Lonchura striata: one gene and its partner. The protein of the gene in region 2 binds, or shares a complex with, the protein of the main gene of each other region. Links are inferred from orthologs where the notes say so. Each region holds a gene or a part of one and is shown on either strand. Other genes may lie near its edges.

Region 1 (7,017 bases), on a different chromosome or scaffold from region 2:
CTTTACCACCCTCTGGATCTGCAATACACACCCAGAGCCTACACCCTTGTGGGGATTAGCTGCTCTGTCATTATTAGAACCTTCAAGTCTTTTTGCCTATGCTGTGCCTATCCACACTGCTCACATCCATTGGTTTCTTCTCAAAAATCCTCATTTTCTTCTCTTCCTTCTTCATCCTTTGCCATAACCCGCTCAGACATGTAGCTACCATGAGTAACATGAACCTGGTATGCAGAATTTTATACTTCAAGTTGCAGACTAGAAAAATTTTGCATCAGCTTTAGATACACCAAAAAAAAAAAAAAAAGAAATAAAAAAAAGAAAAATAGATACAGCAAAGCAGAACTCTTAGATAGACAGAAGTATTGCATTTTTCCATGTAAAGAATAACTAGTATGTTCAAGGACTATATTGAGATGCCATTGGGGGAGATAGAGAGTAGAATCCACAAACAAATTTGGGGTATACCAGAGGGGGAAGAGTTGTTCTATCAATAACAGCCTTTAATAGGCTATAATCCAACAGCAATCTGGAAAACATGTTAACAGAAAGTATAGTGCTTTTCCCAAGCTTTGTATACCTAAGCTGTATCTCTCTCCACTGCTTTCCCTGAGACTCCAGAACTACACCTTGTGCTCACCCTAACCTGAACATTGCCATATTCCTCACAATACAGACTGAGACCTGCTGTCTCTTAATGTTTATTTCCAATCATTTTCCTTTTTTACATTTATAAAATGTGCTTGGCCAGTCAATACTATCTTTTAGTACACCATCTTTAGGTCATGTGCTTCCAGCAACATTTTAACAACAGTTCAACCTCACAACAAATTTAACTTCTTAATTACATGGAAATTTTTATTCCTCTCTATCCCCTTCTAAAGGTGCATCTTTCCACCGATGCAGCAGGCTTCAACAGCTCTTGTTATGTCAGCTCATGCTCTTCCTGACAGAAGACTGTGACTGATATCATTAGAGGTCTTTAGAGGCTGTCAAACTGACAACAGAAGACAAGGAAAAGGTTCCTTATAGAACTCCCTGAAAGTAAAGAAAAAGGATGCTCTTGAAGATTTAATAACAAATTCCTTCAGCTAGTATATTATTTAACTTTTTTTTAAGGTACTTGTTTGCCATCTTAGCAAGACTGTTTGTATAGAACCTCTGTGATCCAAACGTACACTATGGAATAGTCACATAAAATCATGTTAGCAGCTTTATCTTTCTGAGCCCATTTTGTGTATCAAAGTTAACAAAGAGAGCCTAATTCCCTTCTTGAACTTGGCAAATCTCACTGAGAAAACCTGCTGTTCTTTTGGAAATTTCACAGATATGCACTGTGAAAGCAGGAATCTGAAAAAAAGATACAAACAACAGTGAAAAGTTAAAAAGGCTCTTTGTTCTCATGAGCAAATTACACAGGAGCAGAAGTTATGGTTATGACATTAAATCATATCATTGCATGGTAGGTTAATCTCAATCTGTCTTTTGGAAAGTAACTTCTTTTAGATTAATTTTCCTTTTTTTTTTTTTTTTTTTTTTTTTTTTTTTTTAATAAAAGGCTATTTTTCTTAGAAACTTGTTACAATCCTATAATGCCCCAGCCTACTTGATGGGTTCAGAGGAAGGCATTGGGATATACCCTGGGCAGTGCATGGGAAAAACAACCAAATTACCAGGAGACTCAATAACAACTTTTATTTCCAAACTTTGGAACGTTCAAGTAGAATAGGGTACTTGGCAAATTTTAAAACATCCAGACAAAAATCAAGTACTTCCCAAACTTTAGCTCAGCGAACTTTTAACTTCTCCAGACACAAGAAGAAACTGGAAGTTTCCAGTCTGACTTACATATTTTGAGAAGAGTATGCCAGAAAACCAGAGAAAGAAAGAAAAAAAAAAAATGGGGAGAGAAAAGTAAATGGCCATCACCCCAGGATCCAGCATTGTCTCAGCAACTTCTAAACCCCTGGCAGCAGAGCATGTTTGGCACACGTGTTGCTTTGCTTATATCTTCTGTGCTCTGCCACTTCAGGGCTTACAGATCCTGTACCCCCACCACTTCCCAGCTGGCTCTTTTGAGCCGGTCAACTGTTCCTCAAGTCTCCTACAGATCCCAAGGCAAAGATTTCACTCTTGAACTAAGTGAATTCCTCAGCTCAGTGGAGCTGTCCATTCTACCTTTCAAGGGAGGGGCACATTCCTCTCTGTAACTGGTTTCACTGCAGTGTTTCTACCGCACTCTTTTCGGCAGGAAGGTCTTCAGTGGGCGCATCAAAGCACTTATCATGTGCAACCTCCAGCCCCTTCACTTCTGGAAAACACAACCAGCAAACTCCGTGATGAATGGGAGACTATCGAGGACACTTTTTTTTTCTTTCAGGAAGTGATGAAATGGTCCAGACAGGATAAAGAACAAGATAACCCTACAGTTTCTATTCCGTTCGCTATTTTAAATATTTGAGGAAATTACCTAAACTTTCTATTCTTCAATGTCTCAATTTCTATTATTATATAGTATTCTATAGAATTCTTCAACGAGTATGAACCAGAGGTAAGAAAAAAGTATTATTTGCTTCTGTAACAGCAGCTCCACAGGTGCCAAGTGCTCTCCGAGCAGCAGGATCAGTGTCCAGCCCGGGCACACTCGGTGATGAGCGCCCACAGGGAGACGGCCGGGCGGGGAGCAAGCTCGCCGAGCAGGGCTCCGGCTCCCAGGGCCTCTGGCCGCCTCCCCGGCCAGGGCCGGCCGCCGGCCAGGGCAGGCCGGGCAGTCCCACACGGACACACGGCCCCGCACCCGCCCGCCGCCGCCCCGGAGCGCTGCCCGAGCCCGCGGAGGGGACGGGGCCGGCGGGGCAGCCCCCCTCGGCGGCGGCGCTGCTCACCTCGTCCCGCAGCCCGGCAGCGCAGCGGTCCCGGCGCGGCCCCGCGCCGCCTCCCGCAGCAACCGCAGGCGGGCAGCGCCGGCACCGGGGCGGGCGGAACCGCCTCATCAGCCGGCGCCGTCATGTGACGGGAGGGCTCGGCTACGACACAGGGAGCGCCGCCGCCTCCCTCCCGTCCTTCCCACCCTCCCTCCATCCTCCTGAGCCCGCAGCCGTCCCTGCCCGCTGGCGCTCCCGGGCGGGGCGGGCGGGGTGGGTGCCGGCGGGAGCCGCCGAGGGAGCGGGGCCGCCTGAGCGCAGACTGTGAGTTCGGCGGTGGCGGAGCGGGACGGGACGGGACGGGACAGAACGGGACGGGACGGGACAGAACGGGACGGGACGGGACAGAACGGGACGGGACGGGACAGAACGGGACGGGAGCGGGTTCGGAGCCCGTCCGGCCGCTGCCGCCCTGGAGCCGCTGTGCGCCCTGCGGAGCGCAGCCTGCGGCGGCACTGGGCACCTGGGGGGGCTCCGGCCGCTCCTTCTGGGTCAGAACTGCCTTGGGACAGCGCACTGTCAAATTATCGTAATGCTCCAGAAAGTGTTTGGTGAAAAGTCAAGCCTGGTCATAATTTTCCATAGGTGTTTTTGAAGCACAGACGCTTATTTTTGGCGCTGCACGCCGTGTCCCGCAGGAGACGCGTGAACGAGTAAAACTGAGCAGGAAATGCAAGCACAGCATGGAAGCTCGTCCTTTAGCAATAAATAATGAACGGAGCTCTGTCATTTCCATTTGCTATGAAAGTTTTCCTTATTGCTAAAGCCCTTATGATCACTTCGGTTGACTTTTTAAAGTGAATCTTAAAAACACATTTTGTGAAGTGACTTTGCTTTCCTTGGGCCCAATCTCCTCGCCTGGTCATAATTGCTTCACTATTTGTGACTGTTTCATTTTTTAATAGTGTTCTTCAACTGTTCTTCAAAAGATCACACTTCCCCTGCCTGCTCAAACAGTTCACTTCTCAAACTAAGTGTACGTGCTGAAAATGAATTCTGTGCATTTTTTCATTTCAAAAGCTGTGGATAATTTAGATTTCATAATTTGAAAGATTGGAGAGTATGCTTAAATATCCACAAATTAAATTATCAGAAACATGAATATAAACCACGCTGGATGTGTGTGGGTTTGTTTTTACAGGTTATTAATGGCGTGGCTGGTCTCTTCATCAGGCTTTCTGCTTCCAGTAACCTAAAGAGTAAGGATCAGAATCAGACTGCAGGACTTCTGCTGCTCTGTCACACTGAGCTCCACAATGGTGGATTTTCTGGCTGAAAACAATCTCTGTGGTCAGGCAATTCTTCGGATTGTTTCCTGTGGAAATGCCATCATTGCAGAACTTCTGAGACTTTCCGAATTTATTCCTGGTGTTTTCAGACTAAAGGACAAGGCTGATCAGCAGAAGTATGGAGATATCATATTTGATTTCAGTTATTTCAAGGTAAATCCTTTTATTGTTAAACTTCTCCTTAAAGCATTGCTGTCCAACATGAGGATGTTTTAGCTTGTGATACAGCCATTCCTGACTATTGTGTTTATTACTATTACATCTTCCAAAATGTTTGATGTGTCATCTGGCTGTGAATTTTGATAGATATCAATTATATAAGACATGAGTCTTGGATTCTGGGGAGGTAGTAGTAGTGGCACTAGTAGTAGTGGTAGTAGTGGTAGTGGTAGTAATTCCTGCAGGACCACTAAATTAAACTTCCTCCAGCAGGTTCTGAGGCTGCATGGTTGTTTGTTTCCCTTCAGAGCAGTGCCGTGGGCAGCATGCCCATCTTTCTTCTGTTAATCTGTAGCTTATTCTTTGCAGCCATGAAAACTGCTTTCTGCTTTCCTGTCTGACAGTGCTGTGATTGTTCTTCCTCTGGACTTGTCACATGCACTGAATAAATAAATAAATAAGTCAAGGAGAAGTGTCCATGGAAAGCCCTTATTTCTCTTTCAGAATTAAGCTTTTAATACAAAATTCCCTCTGTCGTTTTCCACCATGATTAAGAAGGAACAACAGAGACTGTCTAATCTGACTTTATTTGGACTGTCCAATACAAGAAATGTTAATAATAAAGCAAGGGAGGCACTTTTAAGTCAATTTGATTGTAGTAGGAGTTGTAAATTTCAGGCACCATGAGGTTTGGATACTGAAAATCCAGAGCACAAATGATTTCACAGTTACCTTTAGATCTAGGTGTTTGGTAGAATTTTTTTTTTTTTTTTTTGCACAAATTACTTAAAAGTCTAAAAGCAGATAGCTGTAATTGGTAAGAAATACAGTAATCCTTAAAGCCTCAGTAAATTTGAATGTTAAGAAAGCATAAGTGTGCTGTTTTTCATCATTAAAATCAAATAAATCCATAGAAGTCATACTGTTAAAGCAAAGATTAGAGAATTTGCAGATATTTTTACTGCAAATGCACCCCTTCTGTATTCACAATTCTTAGAATTACTTCTGAGGAAAGATTTGAGATTTGAAAAGTTGAGACTAGTTACTTTGTCCATTTTAACTTCATAGGCAGTTTGGCACCTGTTTTTATCCTTTGTTTTATGTAGATATTTTGCACAGAAAGAGAAGCAAAGAGTATTTTTAAAAACTCAAATTGTCAGCTGGATATTTTCAATTGCATTTTAATAGTACTTCCAATTAAACTTTAGCATTATTTTCCTTTAGTTGGTGATGCTAATACTGCGTGGTGCTTATGAGAAATACGACAGTGGTAAAGGGCTAGAAAAGTTGTATTATTGCTTTAAGGAAGTCAGGTTCTTCATCCCAAATCTTTTTCCCCCATGATTGTTAATGACAAAGTGTCTGCATTAATTCAGGAGACAAGTACTGTCTACACATGTAGAGTGTGGAAAAAACATGTCTAATATTTTGAAGCAGTTTGAATATATGAGAAGATACTACGCTTTCTGAGCCCTCAATGTTGTGGTTTCTATCTGAGAAGTCAACCAGAAGAAATGGGTAAAGGAAAAAAATTCCATCAGTGAGATAGTTAGCACTATAGAAAGCACCCAGTGCCTTCAGATATACTGGGGCTTTACTGAAAGCATTGACTATTCTTTTCCATTGGATAAATCAATTTAAAGTCATTGCAGATTGTAACAATGTGGAAAACTCATCTTTATGGAATCAATATTTAGCCACAAACTGGGTTAGAAAACTACAGATCCTTGTTTTGGTAAGAAATGATAACTGTAGTTTGCACACAGGGGTGGTTGTACATGGTCTGTGTCCTACTGTAGAGAAGTCAAGTAGAGATCAAAGTCAAGTATTGTCTCTAAAGGTGAGTTTCTGTTTTTCAGGGGCCTGAGATATGTGAAGGTAAACTGGAAGCCAAGCCTGAGTTACTGGATTTAGATGAAGAATTTCGTGAAAACAACATTGAAATTTTGACAAGATTTTATTTAGCTTTTCAGAGTGTACATAAATACATTGTAGATTTAAACAGGTATGGTATCTTGAATACATACAGATTCTTAAAGACTAGATTTCTGTTTTGTCCTATTGATTAGAAGCTTTTTCCTTAGAGACCCAATATACTCCTTGTTGAAGCACATTCATGTGCATCAACAAACCTGGGTTGTTGCTGAAGTGAGCACTAACTTTTACTCCAACAGTTCCCTTCCAGGTTAATATATGACTTGAAAACATTTAACCTCTCTACCTCATTTCCTCAACTATAACTATGAGTTTGTTTTTCTTTATCTTAGAGATTGTCCTGAAGATTTTTTTTAAATAAAAGGAGAATCCATATTGTTAAGCTATTTTTTTTTTTCGATCTTGCAAAACAGAATGTTAGGTAGTTTGAGGGTTTTTTTTAATTTTCATTGGCATTATTTTCTTGAACTTAATCTTTTAGTGAAGATGCCATATTCTCAAGCTTGTTACTTTGACATGTAAAAAGCAAAATTAAAGCTTCATTAAATGCTCTAAGAAAAAGTTACTGAGGATCTTAAACGTGAGAGTTGGCTTTACTATTAATGTTATGTGAAAAAATTAAATGTTTGATATTACTTACGAAGTCATGTTACTAGAAGATCCTTTAATAGGAATAAATCTTCTGTTAATTCAGGTGAACATACTCTATT
Region 2 (6,882 bases):
CTAGTAGATACATTCATGGTGAAACACTGAATTCTGGTGTGTGGCTAATAAATTAGTATTTAATGCCACTGCCTAGCAGCTTTGACTTTCATGAAAACAGATAAGCACTCAAATTCACCCCTTCGCTCAGCAACCAATGAAAGTCATAAGTAAACAAAACTGCTTAGATTCCAACACTTTCAGTGGTGTATGAAGTAGCCGAACATTACTCATATTGCACTTCAGAGCTCAGATGTCTCAGAAGTTTTTGAACACTACACACTCACAGAACGCCCAGCCCCTCAAATATCATAGAACTTATCTGGCCTATCCCTGCATCCACACTAGCAAGAAAAAATTTTAAACTGAACTTTATGTTTTTTATAGACTTAAGCAAACACTCAAGATTCTTTGTTGGTCTGCTGTAACACAGGGGAGCATTTTCAAGGAGCAAAGAAGCCAACAGCCTGCTTAAAAGCTGCTCGGATCCGACTCCTCCCCCCAGTACAAAGAAACGAACTGTCCAGCCTGAAAGCATTCAAGTGTTCTAAAGTCCCACCTCACATCAGTGACACAAGGCCTCAAGAACTCTATCCAGAAACATAGAAACCAGTGGACAGGATAAAGCAACTACTTAGCTACTGAGAAACTACAGAAGAATGACTGAAAAAAGAGAAGATTTTAAGAGCACGAGCTGACTGAGCTGTGATAAAGCAGCAGCAGCAGTGCAATAATGGGGGAGGTGTCTGCATTTCAAGTCAGATTTTCCCCTATTGCAAGTGCTTAATATGCAGTTTAAGACAATTAACAACAATCACCAGAAGGTTTATCAAATAAATTCATAGGAAGAGCATTAAATTCCACCAGAACTGCCATGTACTGCCTGACAATCTGAGGCTTTATGGTTCTGTAACAAACAGGGCAAACCTCCAGTAGAAATGTTGGCAAACTCAGAGCCTGGAACTTACCAAGTCTTCTGCAAATGCTGTTGAATCAAATGCTGACATCTCTGAGTGTAACTCACTGGCCTTCTCCTTTCCTATATTGGATGCTATAACGAGGAAATGGGCATCCAGTGCAGCCTCCCGTGCACGGCAAACTGGTACAGAAAAGATTTTGTGGTAATTAATATAAAATTGTCACAAAGAGAATTATCAGATTCAACATAGGGACTATCCTGGCTTAAGTGCTTTGGAAATCCTTTTATTGAAATGACCTCTAACACATTTACATAATCATCATAATAATATTTACATTAAAAAAAAAGGAAAGAATGACAAACCATGGAAGAGTAACACACAATTTTGAACAACAAATGCATTTTTTAATCAACATGCTTTCCACCTTTCCAAGTGAAATGAACCCCTCTACACTGATATCTTTTATGTGTATTACTGATATATGCTGTTCCAGTGAATCAAAATAAAGCAAGGAGTTATTTCTAAAAGCAAATAAACTGCAATGACATTTATTTTCTCACATCAACTTACTGAACCAATCTTCAACTCAACATATCTATTTTAAGTTATATAAAATTCTGATGAAGTACTTGGACCTCAACTTCACTCTTTTGCCTCTTTTGTTTGTAAGGCATCATCGCCTCATGCTTGGCCAAACACATCAATGAAAGACTAATGAATTTGTTTTACCTCCATCAAAAAGTCTATTGGCTTCTTCCAAAGCTTCTGTCAGCCTGTTGCTTTTTGAATTCAGCATGGCTTCTCGATTTTCTGTGGGAAAAGACACAAAGAAAATCCTGAATTAGAAAATATAGAAGCACTGAGAAACGCTGCGCTTGTTTGATGCTGAATGGAGGCCAGGTGCCCACCAAAGCTCCATCACTCCTCAGCTGGGCCAAGGACAGAAAAGAGAACAAAAAGCTCATGGGCCTAGGTAAGAGAGTTACCTCACTAGCAAAACAGGCTCGATTTGGGGAAATGAGTGGAATTTCCATGAAAGAAACGAACCAGCCACTACAACTGTACACTTGGTCAGTTCCATAAACAGGCTGGATCACCCATAAACTGCACTGTAGCTTCTTGCAAAACAACTGCACAAATTTATCAAGTATTCACAAAATAACTAATCCCACGTATTGCTGAACTTGGCAGTGCTACTGAGCACATTTCTGTGAGGAAAACAACACAACTCACTCAAATGGATATAGGAGAAGGACTCACACACTTGTCTGGAAAGATGCTAAAAACTACACAGCGTTTTTGGAAGTCCCAAGATAACTTTCCAGTCCAGGCACATAATGATACCTGCAGTTTCAAACTAAAGCTCAGACACCATGAAAGTGAAATTAAAGGATTTAGCTGCATCTCCAGGCCTTAAGCCGACTGTTCCCCTGCACCAATGCAGCCACCACACGTGTGTTAGTGCAGCTAAATCCCTCCTAACCTCGCTATCCCAGGGCATGCAGGAAAGGAACTTTGCACAGGCCTCAAACTGAAGGAGAGTACGTTTAGATACGGGAAAAAATTCTTCCCTGCAAGGGTGGGGAGGTCCTGGCACAGGTTGCCCGGAGCAGCTGTGGCAGTGTCCAAATCCAGGCTGGACAGGGCTTGGAGCAGCCTGGGACAGCGGAAGGCATCCCTGCCACGGTTGGAACGAGAATACCCGTAAGGTCCCTTCCAGCCAATCCATGATTTGCGAGTCGAATTTCTTTCAGAGTCCAAACCCAGCGCATCGGCAGCCCGAGGACCACCCGTTTCCCCACACGGCCAGGACCGGCCGCCATCCCGGACCGCTTCAGCCGCGGCCGCAGCGCTCCCCCGGCTGCCTCCTTACGCTGCACGGTGGAGATGAGCTCCCGGTACTGGCTCCGGATCATCCTGTTGTGCTCCCTGTCGTCGTCGTCGCCGTCGCCGATGCTCAGCTGCCGGAGCCTCTCGCCCGCCGCCTCCTCCTCCGCCGCCTCCTCGTGCGCCGCCTCCGCCGCCTCCTCGCGCGCCGCGCGCTCCTGCGGCTGCGGCGGGCGCGCGCGGCGGCGGCGCGCGGCCGGCGGGGACTCGCCGCTGGTGCCGGCGTGCGACATGGCGGCCGCCAGCCGGCACCGCGGGATGCGGGTGACCCCGCCCCGCGGCTCCGCCGGCCTTCCCGGGATGCGCGCACCGAGTCGAGCCTGCGCAGTGAAGAACCTCAGAGGATCCTGGTGGAGGGGTCTGCGGGCACCGCCGGTGGTCGTTGAGCCGATGCGCTCTGCTCGCGATCTTCCATAATGGCGCTGCTTGCCGCGCCGGTTCTGCGCGGTCCGTTCCGCAGCGAACGGGGCTGGGCCTTTCTGACTCGCCGCAGGGGCGGTTACCGATCTCTCAGCGTTCCTTTACATTTCCTTCCTTCCTCCCTCGGAGTTCCGGTGGCTGCCCGGGGCTGGGCGCTGTGAGCGGCGGCGGGCGGTGCGCGGAGCCGGCTGGGCGGGGCCGCTCCGCTGCGGGCGCGGCTCCATCGCCGCCGCGGGAGGGCGCTGCGGGCGCGGAGACCGCGGGGCGGGAGGCGGAGACGGCCAAAGTCTGAGGGGAGCGGGGGGAAGTGAGGGAAAGGGTGAGCCCAGTGTCCCAGCGCCTCTAATAATGGATCCGTGAGGCAGCCAGCACCTGAGGGGAGAGGGGAGAAGTGAGGGAAAGGGGTGAGCCCATTGTCCCAGCACTTCTAATAATGGATCCGTGAGGCAGCCAGCGTCTGAGGGGAGAGGGGAGAAGTGAGGGAAAGGAGTGATCCCATTATCCCAGCGCCTCTAATAATGGATCCGTGAGGCAGCCAGCATCTGAGGGGAGCGGGAGAAGTGAGGGAAAAGGGTGATCCCATTGTCCCAGCGCCTCAATGCAGAGATGGGTCCGTCAGACAGCCAGCGTCTGAGGGGAGCAGGGAGAAATGAGGGAACGGGGTGCTCCGATTGTCCCAGAACCTCTAATAATGGGTCTGTGAGGCAGCCACCGTCTGAGGGGAGCGGGAGAAGTGAGGAAACGGGGTGCTCCCATTGTCCCAGCGCCTCTAATAATGATCCGTGAGGCAGCCAGCGTCTGAGGGGAGTGAGAAGTGAGGAAACGGGGTGCTCCGATTGTCCCAGCACCTCTAATAATGATCTGTAATAATGAGGCAGCCAGCGTCTGAGGGGAGCAGGAGAAGTGAGAGGGAAGAGGGCGCTGCGATTGTCCCAGGGATGTGTCTGGAAACGCCTGCTTTAGTCACTGAGCAGGGATCTGTGCTCTGGCAAATGAAATAAATTATAGGCCCATAGAATGGTTTGGATTAGAAGGGACTTTAAGGACTGTCTAGTTAGGATCATGGAATCATCAGGGTTGGAAGTGATCTTCAAGATCATCCAGTCCAAGTGCCCACCCAGCTTTGTCACTGTAACCCCTAAAGGACATCACTCAGCTCCTGAACACCTCCAGGGATGGTGATTCCACCACCTTCCTGGGAACCCATTCCAAAGTGCCTAAAACTTTTCTGATCTCTAATCAGAATGTCCCCTGTCTCAGCTTAAAGCCATTTCTCCTGGTCGTCTCACTGCAGGCACAGCAGAGACCGGTGCCACCTTGCTGCACCCTCCTCCAGATCAGCGGGTGGACAGTGATGAAGGCCCCCCTGAACATCCTTTTTTTGTGTTGAAAACGCTCGCTCCCTCAGCCATGCCTCAGAAGAGCTCTCTGGAAACTCTCCATGTCCTTTCTATAGTGAAGGGCCCAGCGATGAATGTGCCACTTGAGGTGTGGCCTCACCAATGCTGAGATCAGGGGGAACATCACTTTCCTGGTCCTGCTGGTCCCTACAAAATATAAATCATAACATTTAGCCCTTCATAGCTGAATAATACTATTATGTTGTTCTAATTATTGTGGTGGGGGTTTCAAGGTATTCTTGGGAGTATTTCCTTAAACATCTTCATAGTTCAGCTTGACTCAGTATATAGACATGGATCTACTTCAGTTTGCCCAAACCAGTACTTCAGCTGGACTACAGACTGCAACTATGCACAACCTACCTTTCAAAATATATGTTTGAAATATGTAATACCTCAGCTGAACATTAATAAATTATATTTGAGCTCTTGAACCATTTTCTATTCTTTGTGTGACTTGTAGAGTGCTGTCAAATTTGCATTGCAAATTCAGTATGAGTAATTTACTTTCGGATGCTGACACAGAAAGGCTCAAGAGAGGATCCAAACAAGACCAGGGCCCATTGTACACTGCAGTACATAAACACGTGGTAAAAAAATATTTGAGATGCAAATACAGGCTCAGCAAATGTGAATTACAATTTTTTACTGTCATCTCACTATGCTTAATAAGAACTCAAGATTTCACAATATTGCAAGACATTGCCCTGCATTTTTGTTTTGAGATTCTGCTTGTCCAGATGATCAGATCTCTGCCTTCCTTGCTATTATGTATCTGTCAATTGTTACTGTCAACAGTGAAAATGATAAGTGAAAAAATGCCCTATATGCATCTAACTGCAAGATTTGCCAGTTGTCTTTCCACACCAAGATTATTTTTTATCTGATGTTCATTCAGTTCTCATTCATGCATATACATCAAACCTTATTCTAATTGAAGCGAGAAGAGTCACATAGAGGAATCCTAAAATAAACATTTTGATGTAACAGGAGAGTTTCACTGTGTGCAGATTTCATCATTCCCTCTTTTATTCCTCTCAGGGTGCAGAAATGAATGCAGAGTTTCTGGCATTTAGAATTTTAACTCATAACGTTGTACAATTTGTATATACCATGATCATACAGGTACTGTATTTCAGCAAACAAAAGTCAGTTTCCATTGTTGCCAAATACAGAGCAATAATGTGTTTTTTTCTGGTGCTGAGCAGTGAATTACAAGAGGGACTCAGTGCATCTCAGCTTGGGAGCTGCCCAGCACAATGGTGCTCTTACCTAGAGCCTCTAAAACATGGAGCTACCACTGCTTCATTTACTGTCAAATCTGTTCACTTGTCCAGTTCTGGAAATTGGCCTCCTGATGTGAGTATCCCTGATTTGCTAGCAGATGTTCCCAGGCATTAATGGAAAAAGATTTGTCTTTAAATGAGACCTTTTAGTCACTGCCCAGGAGTAAACCTTTTTTGCATTTCCCTTGAATACACCAAAAAAAAGTTCCTGTTTGGGATAAAGACATAAAGCAAGCAATTAGTTGTCTGAAATTATGGCAACACAGGACCTGTTGCCCAGTGATGGCTGTTCCTGATATAAAGTTAATCCTGGTATCTGAAATGATACCAGGATTCAATCTGGTAATTGAAAACATCAGAAATAAAACATCTGAGATATTTGGCATTCAGCTGCCAGCTCTGCAAGCAAACAAAGATGAGAAGAAACTCTTCTAATGAGTGCAGCTAATTTTAAAAAGTTGTTTTAGTAATGCAGAAGTGTGAATTAGTATACTTGGTTCTTGCAGCAGCTTTTATTTCTGTACTTACAGATAAACCTGTGGGGGTGAAAATCTGGCAGCAGATATTCCCTCAGCAGTGTGGATTAGGTTACAGCCCATCACATCACCATATGCATTGTGCCAGTCTAAGATGGGATTTTCAGAGACATATGAAAGAACAATTATTAATAGAACTGTGAAAAAAAATATCCCAGTTTGGTGAGATGTCAAGGAAAAAAATCCTTTTAGGATCAAACCCTCACTGGCACCAGAATCCCTTTCTTTTTAAGGACTTGGAAGGTTTCATTAAGTGAAAGACTGACAACAGGTCGCTACAACAACAACATGTGGAAATCATGCTGCTGGAGACCAAAATACTGAAAATCTTCCACTTTTTCCCTACAATCAAACAGCAATGTAGAAAAATAGAAATAAAATAATAAAATAAAATAAAATAAAATAAAATAAAATAAAATAAAATAAAATAAAATAAAATAAAATAAAATAAAAT

What was found.
Region 1: NSMCE4A (region 2) and NSMCE2 share a complex: the UniProt entries of both Homo sapiens proteins name them as parts of the SMC5-SMC6 complex. The link is inferred for Lonchura striata from reciprocal best matches to the Homo sapiens genes NSMCE4A and NSMCE2.

What each region holds. Positions count from the first base shown.
Region 1 is NC_134603.1:11,866,781-11,873,797, forward strand, and holds the start of NSMCE2 (E3 SUMO-protein ligase NSE2), read right to left. Parts: upstream 3,009-7,017; 5' UTR 2,994-3,008; coding exon 2,886-2,993; intron 1-2,885. Other genes in the region: WASHC5 (WASH complex subunit 5), read left to right, coding at 4,181-4,366, 6,232-6,377. UniProt on the Homo sapiens protein: E3 SUMO-protein ligase component of the SMC5-SMC6 complex, a complex involved in DNA double-strand break repair by homologous recombination. Is not be required for the stability of the complex.
Region 2 is NC_134609.1:28,228,210-28,235,091, forward strand, and holds the start of NSMCE4A (non-structural maintenance of chromosomes element 4 homolog A), read right to left. Parts: upstream 3,020-6,882; coding exon 2,773-3,019; intron 1,710-2,772; coding exon 1,629-1,709; intron 1,079-1,628; coding exon 948-1,078; intron 1-947. UniProt on the Homo sapiens protein: Component of the SMC5-SMC6 complex, a complex involved in DNA double-strand breaks by homologous recombination. The complex may promote sister chromatid homologous recombination by recruiting the SMC1-SMC3 cohesin complex to double-strand breaks.